Macaca mulatta: one gene and its partner. The protein of the gene in region 2 interacts with the protein of the main gene of each other region in a pairwise test. Links are inferred from orthologs where the notes say so. Each region holds a gene or a part of one and is shown on either strand. Other genes may lie near its edges. The genes, in order: MEAF6 and PLEKHF2.

What was found.
Region 1: the proteins of PLEKHF2 (region 2) and MEAF6 interact in binary tests that used the Homo sapiens proteins (3 or more experiments, as listed by UniProt). The two-hybrid records come from large-scale screens. The link is inferred for Macaca mulatta from reciprocal best matches to the Homo sapiens genes PLEKHF2 and MEAF6.

The regions. Positions count from the first base shown.
Region 1 is NC_133406.1:203,284,166-203,288,417, reverse strand, and holds the start of MEAF6 (chromatin modification-related protein MEAF6), read right to left. Parts: upstream 2,885-4,252; 5' UTR 2,864-2,884; coding exon 2,774-2,863; intron 1,677-2,773; coding exon 1,561-1,676; intron 1-1,560.
Region 2 is NC_133413.1:105,528,158-105,532,543, reverse strand, and holds the start of PLEKHF2 (pleckstrin homology domain-containing family F member 2), read right to left. Parts: upstream 3,082-4,386; 5' UTR 2,861-3,081; intron 1-2,860. UniProt on the Homo sapiens protein: May play a role in early endosome fusion upstream of RAB5, hence regulating receptor trafficking and fluid-phase transport. Enhances cellular sensitivity to TNF-induced apoptosis.

The DNA of each region.
Region 1 (4,252 bases), on a different chromosome or scaffold from region 2:
ATGAATCTACACACAAGATAAAGTGACATAGAACTATATATATACATTGTACCAACGTCAATTTCCTGGCTTTGATACTGTATTAGAGTTATATAAAACACACCTATTGGCCGGGCGCGGTGGCTCAAGCCTGTAATCCCAGCACTTTGGGAGGCCGAGGCGGGCGGATCACAAGGTCAGGAGATCGAGACCACAGTGAAACCCCGTCTCTACTAAAAATACAAAAAATTAGCCAGGCGCGGTGGCGGGTGCCTGTAGTCCCAGCTACTCAGGAGGCTGAGGCAGGAGAATGGCGGGAACCCGGGAGGCGGAGCTTGCAGTGAGCCGAGATCGCGCCACTGCACTCCAGCCTGGGAAACAGCGTGAGACTCCGTCTCAAAAAAAAAAAAAAAAAAAAAAAAAAAAAACACCTATTGGGGAAAACTAGATGAAGACTACAAAAGACCATTCTGCCAACTCCCTATGAATCTATAATTATTTCACAATTTAAAAACGTGAAATGTAAATATAGGTGTGTGCTTATATTAATATTATAGAGAGTAAGAGAAAGCAAATGTCACAACACATTAACAATCTGAATACAGGTAGGACAGTATCAAGTGTTCATATACTATTCTTCCCATTTTTCTATAACTTGAAGATAATCCAAAAGTTTAGAAATTTTTTAAAAATATTACTAAGCAAGCAGTGGTACAGCTGGCACACAGGTATGGCAAAAATTGTGAGGGTCAGTTGGGCGTGGTGGCTCACCCCTTTAATTCCAACACTTTGAGAACCTGAGGCAGGAGGACTGCTTGAAACCAGGAGTTCCAGGCCTGCCTGGGCAACAAAGTGAGACCCCACTTCTACAAAAAAAAAAAATGTTTTTAATTAGTCAGGTGCAGTATTGTGTGCCTGTAGTCCCAGCTAATTGAGAGGCTGAGGTGGGAGGATCATTTCAGCCCGGGAGTTTGAGGCTGCAGTGAGCTAAGATTGTGCTACTGCACTCCAGCCTGGACAACAGCATGAGACCCTGTCTCTTAGAAAAAAGAAAAGTGGCCAGGCATGGTGGCTCACACCTATAATCCCAGCACTTTGGGAGGCCAAGGCAGCAGATCACCTGAGGTCAGGAGTTCAAGACCAGCTGGGCCAACATGGAGAAACCTCGTCTCTACTAAAAATAAAAAAATTAGCCAGCCATGGTGGCATGCGCCTGTAATCCCAGCTACTCAGGAGGAAAAAGAAAAAAAGAAAAGAAAAATACTGTGAGGGTAGAACTCACGACTGATTAAAATGTGTAAAAAATTTAATAGAGTGATGTTGTATAAAGATATTGTTATATGCTGTATTTAAGCCTCACACAACCCTGTGCCAAAGGCCCAACTTTTGCTATTTTACAGATGTGAGCTTTGTCTAAGATTATTCAGTGAGGCAGTGCCTGAGCCAGAGTCCAAGAGTTCAAGTCCAGACCACACCACCACTTTACTACTGCCTCTAGCAAACTTGCTACTAAGAGCCTACAGTCCTACAAACACACACAATAGGAACACAATAGGAACACTACAGGCTTTCGACACTCACTTTTGGTTGGTCAGATACCGATCCCAGCCACGAATAATATTGCCATACATCTGAGTGTCTTCCAGGTAGCTTCCCTCAAAAGCATAGATCTGTCGCTCCAAGTTTGCCAGTGTTTCCTGAGAGATGAAAAACAAGGACATGAATAATGCCTTTTAAATGCAAACACTTAAGTCTGACCAAAATGAAATCCTGATATTAGATTTGTAAACGCAAGCTTGTCCACACTAAATCACCCTGTGGAGAGATGGATGATATGGGGAGGAGCAGCCGTTTAGGACTAAGACAGTCTAGACCTTTGGGTGTGATGGACCTCTGAATGTATAAAGCATGTCCCCAGAAAAATACACACACACGCGAAATTTTGCATATACTTTAGAGGATTCACGGAAACCAGGAGTCAAGAACCCAGGCTAACGCAGAACTTGTGCGATATCCACTCCCACGCACAAAAGGTATCGCTACCAGGAGAGGGAAGGGTGAGCAGCCTTTCAGCGTCAACTCGCTCCCCTCCCCGCAGGCTCAGAGAGGCCGCCGGCACCGGGCTGCCAGTTGCTATGGAAACCTGGAAGGGCAGCTTCAGGTGAGAGGGGCCTCCGGGGTGCCCAAGCCGAGACGTGAGGGCAGGAAGAGCTTAGCCACCAGGGTGCATTGGGCCTTGGGTGCCTGTCACAATTCCGAATTCTCCAGAATGTGTTCTTCTCCCTCGCCTGTCACCTTCTAGATATTCCCAAACACATCACAACCCTGTCTATCAAAAGCCTCCATTCAACGGATCTACTACTAGTACCAAAAAGAACACGCTCCCCACCATCCTCCAAAGTCCAGACAGGGTGACTCGGTCCCCCTCCCACACTAGCCTCCTACCCCACCCCCACCCCGCAAAGATCACGGACTCGCCCGCCTCGCCCTTCCTAGCGCCCTCTCCCCGAGTCCCGAGCCCCGGCACCGTCCTCCCTCCACGCCCCCTCCTGCGGCTGCCGCTGCCCCTCCCCCTCCCGCGCTCCCAGCTCCCTCCCGGCTCCGGATTCGCACAGCCGGGAAGCTGAACCGCCGGCGGGCCGCAGAATGCGCACCCGGCCTCAGGCCGCCGAGCACACAGCCCGCCGCGCCGCGCCCCCGGAGTAACGAACGGCCTGGCGCAGCCGGGCTTGGGGCCTGGAGGCGGGGCGGGCGCGGAGCCCCATGCCGGGCAACCCCGGTCCTAGCCCCTCACCGCCAACTCCTGCTTCCGCTTCACGAGCTCCGCCAGCTCCCGCCGGGTGTCCGGGATCTGCGGCGGCGCCGCCTTGTTGTGCATCGCCATGTTGGGCTGAGGCGGGCGGCGGCGGCGCGAGGTTGGGGGCGGTCCCTGCGCCGCCAGGGGGCGCCCCCCGCACTGCGCCTGCGCGCGCGGCTTCCGGAGACGCGTGCAGCGCCGCGCAGAGGTGCTCTGCGGCCGGGACTCTGGACGATCCTTCTCGGAGAGGTCCAGAGAGTCGGCTTCTGCTCTGCCCTTTACGCCGTTTCCTGCCCCTCGGCTGGCCGCGGGCTTTACAGACGCCACAAATCTACCGTGTCCAAAGCCTAGCTCGTCCTCAGGCCTCCGAGTCTCCTGTGCGTCCCGCCTCAGTCCACTTCAGTGAATGACTTTCACTATCCACCGCAATTGCCTGCGTCAGAAACCCGGTTTTCCTCACTCTGCACCCGGAGTAAAACGCGATACCAGGTCAAGCCCTGTGGATTCGACTCCGGAAGAGCTCGCGAATCCATTTGCTTGTGCCTGCGCCTTTTGCCACCTTCTTAGTTCATTCAGGCCCTCCCTGTTTGGGGCTACGTTATTCCAACAGCTTCTTTATTTCCACCTTTAGCCCCATTTAATCCACTATCCACAGTGGTGCCGGAATCTTCCAGAAACAAATGTTATCACTCCCCTGTTTAAAGCCTTTCAGTGGCTTCCCATTTTCCCATTGCCCTTTGGAGAAACAAGTATGTGTAGTGGTTAAGGGCACAAAACTGGAGCGAGAACTACCTTGTTCAAAATCCTATCGCTACATCGATAAAGTGTGCCCCTTTGGGTAAATAACCAAATCTCAACTCCCTCATCTGTAAAATGAAAGCAGTGATAGAATCTACTTAATACAGTTGCTGTGAGGAGTAAATCAGCTAATGTGTGTAAGGGGTTTGGCAGGTGCCAATGACTCTGCAAGTACGAATTCGCTTTTATCGTTAAGTCCAAGGTGTAGACGTTGTTTTCACTTGGCCCCTGTTGATTTCTCCCTCCTCAGCTCTCCATCTTTCACTCTTCTGCAATTTCGCTATCATAAGTCTAAGTGGGATATTTTTTCTTTTTGTTTTGTTTCTTGCTTGGAAGTCTTTGGATTTCTATAATCTGTGGGTTGGTATCTTCCACCAGTTTTGGGAAATCGCAGTCATTTTTCTTCAGATGCCTGTCTCATATTCTCTCTCTTTCTGGAACTCGAACATAAGAAACCTTTATTTTTAACCTACCGTCTATATTTTCTATCTTTTTGTCCCTCTGTGCTGCATTCTGAATAACTGGTTTCGTGTGCGGATCTTGTAACCTGCCATCTTGCTGAACTTCCTTACTAATTTTAGGGGGGTTTTGTATAGATTCCTTGGAATTTTTTACATAGATAATTTCATCTGCAAATGGGGCGTTTTTTTTTTTCTTTCTAAGCTGGCTTCTTTTTCT
Region 2 (4,386 bases):
CTTAACCTAGAGAGGTTTTCCAACTTAAAACAGCACTGTGAAAGTGTATCCATCAAGTATTTTTAATTCAGTTAAGTCAACCCATACATTGCTTTTAAATATAAGCGGGCAGCTCATGTACAAAGCTGGTTCATCAAAGATAAATAACAGAAAAAAAAATTTCATATACTTTCTATTAAGCAGAGCATTCTAAAACTTCTAAGACAATTCCGGCAAAACAATACTTGATAGAGCTATATGGGATTTGTTCCAAGAGCTTAAATGTACAAATATGACCTTTAAAATTTTCAAGCATTAACAGTATTTCCATCAAGTTCAAATACATTCAATCACACTTAAAATTATGATTATAATCCTTTTGATGACCCATGGTTTCTCTCTCATACATCAGTAATTATACTTTACTCCATTATCTACTTAGAAATTTCATAAATATTCAAGTTCTGTACTCCCAGGTCAAAATTCACTCAGTTACTGAGGTAAATTATCAACAAAACAACAACAAAACATATATATATATATATATATATATATATATATATATATATATATATGTGCGTGTGTGTGTGTAGATATATATATATAAAATAAACCAATTTGTGGATTTAATGGAGTTGATGGCATGTACTGGGAAAAAGGCTACAAAGAAGATTTAACTATGATGCTCATGGAATTTACAATTTCATAAGAAATTCATGAAGCATATTTACAAGGAACAAACATATGTGTACTCATCCATTCAAACCTTTCCTGAGCATCTGCTATGTTCTTGGCATACAGGGAATGAAGAGGCAAATCAGCCCCGATGTGTTGCCTGCTGTCACGGAGATGTCATGACAGATCTATGCGATATTTACAGTAATACCATGGGAGAAATTAATTGATTTCTGGGGAGAGAAAGGGAGTGGAATGAGAGAACAGAGCAGAAAAGGCTTCAAAGAGTATAGGCTTAAGTATTTTTAAGGAAAAATTTCATCACAAGGATCACCTGTAAATCAGCTCGCTGGGAAATAAGTATACTGAAGAACCAAATTCAAGTCAGAGCAGTGATAAGAGCAAACGAGATCGACAGATTGCTCCAGAAAACTGAGTTATGTATCCTACAAAGTTATGCTATAGGAAAAATGAAAAGGTTTCAGAGTCATAAGATCCCAGTTAAATACCAGCTTGGCTGCTACATTTGTGAAATTAGTTTATTTCATTTCTAAATAAAAAATAAATATTATAATGGCATTTACTTGACAATGAAGCAAAGCTAAAAGAATTCTTAAGAACAACAGAAACTGGCAATAGAGCCTGAGCAACATGGCAAAACCCTGTCTCCACAAAATTCAAACAAAAATTAGCCAGGTGTGGTGATGCGCGCCTGTATTCCTAACTACTCAGGAGGCCGAGGTGGATCACCTGAGCCCCGGAGGTGGAGGCTGCAGTGAGCCGAGATGACACCACTGCACTCCAGCCTGGGCGACAGAGAGACCCTGTCTAGGAAAAGGAAAAGGAAGGAAGAAAAAAGGAAAAAGAAATTGACAATCAAATATGAGCAGAAGCTGTATTTTTAGATCTAAAAAGTAAAATTCTCCAAGAACTTGGGGTTTTAGGGCTTACTGTATTTAAGAGGCTTTTCAGTTCATTTAACAGAATTTTAAAGCAAGATGTCTTCATTTAAAAATCATTTAGATTCAGTTACTGAAGCTGAATCTTTTCTTTTGATGCTTAGTCACTACACTACTTTTATTTAGAGGCCAATTACGTGTGCTTTCCAAATAAATAGCTTAATACCATTCACCCCCTGTGCGGTCGGGACCCAAAGAGATTATAATGAAGCCTTCGTTAATACTGAATTAACGTGAAGACCCCACGAGCTACCAGAGTATTAAAAAAAGGTAAATGCTCAAAACACGGTAGGCATTCACCCTTAAGAAACTAAAGGGAGGGGAAAAAAACTTCAAACTGTCAGGATCACTTCTCCTTATTCTTAAAAGAACACATGCCTTTAAGACTCTCAAAGTTAGTGTCTAAATTTTTCTTTAATGAGTCTCTTCAGCAACGTACTACACAACACGACAAAGAAGGCATTTATCAACAACGTGTTTTGTGAGTCTATGAATTACCGAGGAGGGCTTAGGTGTCTGTAACCTTCATACCCACTTCCACCGCACACTCAAGTTATTGCTGGAATGTACGGAGAGCACACAAGGCTATTCAAGCAACACCAGCAGCGCGCTCTCGGCCTTCAATCACGTTTTTAAAAAGAAAAATAAATTCGGCAAAGGATCATAAAACTTTAAAAGGCTCCAAATAAACCATCGCTTCTATCACAGCAAGTTCTGCGGGGCCATTTTTTTCTCCCAATTGACATACAAATATGTAGTTCAGGTCACAATGTCCCCAACATGCAGACCCTGCAAACTTTTCGGACAGAAATTTGTTGCGACCCTGAGACGCCCCCGGCCGTGTCCGGGACCCCCGTCCCCAGGCGCCAAAACTTCTCGCCCGGCCTCGGGGCTTCTTCCCGCGTCCGCCGGCCCCCGCCCCGCAGACCCGTGGACCGGACCCTCCCCGGCGGCCCCCGTTTCCCCGCGGCGGCGGCGGCGTCCTGCGGGCGGGCGCGGGTTGCTCCCGGGCTGGCGGGACGGCGGCGGCGACTGGCCTGCGGGCCGGCCCCGGCGAGAGGGGAGCGGCTGGGAGCGCCCCGTTTCTCACAGACCCCAACATGGCGTCGGCCGCCACCGCCCGCGACGACGACACCTCCCAGCGCCGCGACGGCTCCGGGACCGCGGGAGGAAGCGCCCGGAAAGTTTCACGTCTCCTCTCCCGGCCAGCCAGGAGCCGGCGGACCACCCACTCGGGCTTCACCTACCCCGACGGCCGCGGGCGGCGGCGGCAGCGAAGGCGAAGGTCCGATTCTCCTGGTCGCGGACGCAGGGCGCGGACTCTGCCCGTTCCCCGCCCGGGCCTCCCAGGGTGTGTGCGGTCCGCAGCCCCGCTCAGCCGGCGCGATCCAGACGCGCTGGGCGGGCGGGACGCCAGCGCAGCCGCTCGCAGGTGACTCCCCCGCCCCTCCAGTCGAACCCGACAACGGCTGCCTGGGCTGGCCTCTCCCCTGCGCGCGCACGGGCGCGCCCCCGCCCACACTCCGGGCGCGAGCGCGCGGTCACGAGCACACCCACACCGCTCGCTCCCCGCCCTTTCTTGCCAGTTCCCTCGCCCCGCCCCTCGCGCGACGCGCTCTAGGGGCGGGGCCTTTGGCGGAGGCCACACCCACCCAGGCCTGCCGCGGGCGGAGCTTGTGCATGTGTGATGTCTGGACGCGCTCCCGCGACGCGTTGAGGTGCACGTGGGGCGCCTTACCTGACTTTCCTGACTCCGACCAGCCCTTAGAAAGTATTGCTCAACTGTCTACCAAGTTCTTAGGGAGACTGGAAGAATAGAAGGAAGACACCTCCCCACCCACAGCAGGCCTCCCCAGGGAACTGAAGAACAAGAAAGGCAGGCTTTGGATTTAGATGCCCAAAGGCGTCGGTACTGGCATTTGCTGCTCCCATTTAGCACAGTAATCCTTCCCGTCACACTTTCCCTTTGCTTTACCTAAAATCCCTCCTCTTGAAACCTAGGGAACTGCGGCGACACACACATACCCCACGTGCTCCAGCCAGCCCTTTCTTTTAAATGCATACTTTAGAATTCTGGTCTTTCCAAAACTTTGACGACACAAAACCCCATCAGCCTACTTCACATACCTAGAAACTGTAATTATAGCATAGTATATAAGGTTAAATGTGCCCTAATTAATCTGATAGCTAATTGCTCTGGTGGGTGCGTGGAGAGGTAAAGAAGTTGCTTAGGGTAGACCAGGGATGGGGGCGAGGTGGGGAGAACAGCATACTTATTTTAAACAAAGTGTGTGTGGTGTGTAGGAGAAAATTGAGTTTTGGTAAATTTTATATTTCTTATTCATCTATTATTTCAGTAAGTTGTTTTAACCTGCGTTTGATTGCTGTTGAATTAGAGTCACTACCAGCCAAGCTGCACGTGGATGAGCACCTAGGGAAGAGAGCAGACTTGGGTTCCGCCCTGCTGTTCCACCTGGGATCCTCCTCCTCCAGGCTTGCTGCCTCCCATCCTCCTCTATTTCAATAGAGTTTGTCTCTGAAACAAGTCTTTTTTTTCTTTAATTAATAATTAGAACAAAATTGGCAAAGATGAACTTTTTTTAAATGGGGAAAGTTGTATGATCACACACACACAATCTTTCGTGTGTTAGAGTTGTCTCTAGATGAGTACGGAAGTCGCCAGGGCCAGTCGCTTGTCTGTACCATCATTCTACCTCATTCACCTCTACATGCACAGAATATCTATCAGTGGGGAAAAGGCAGGACTAAATAA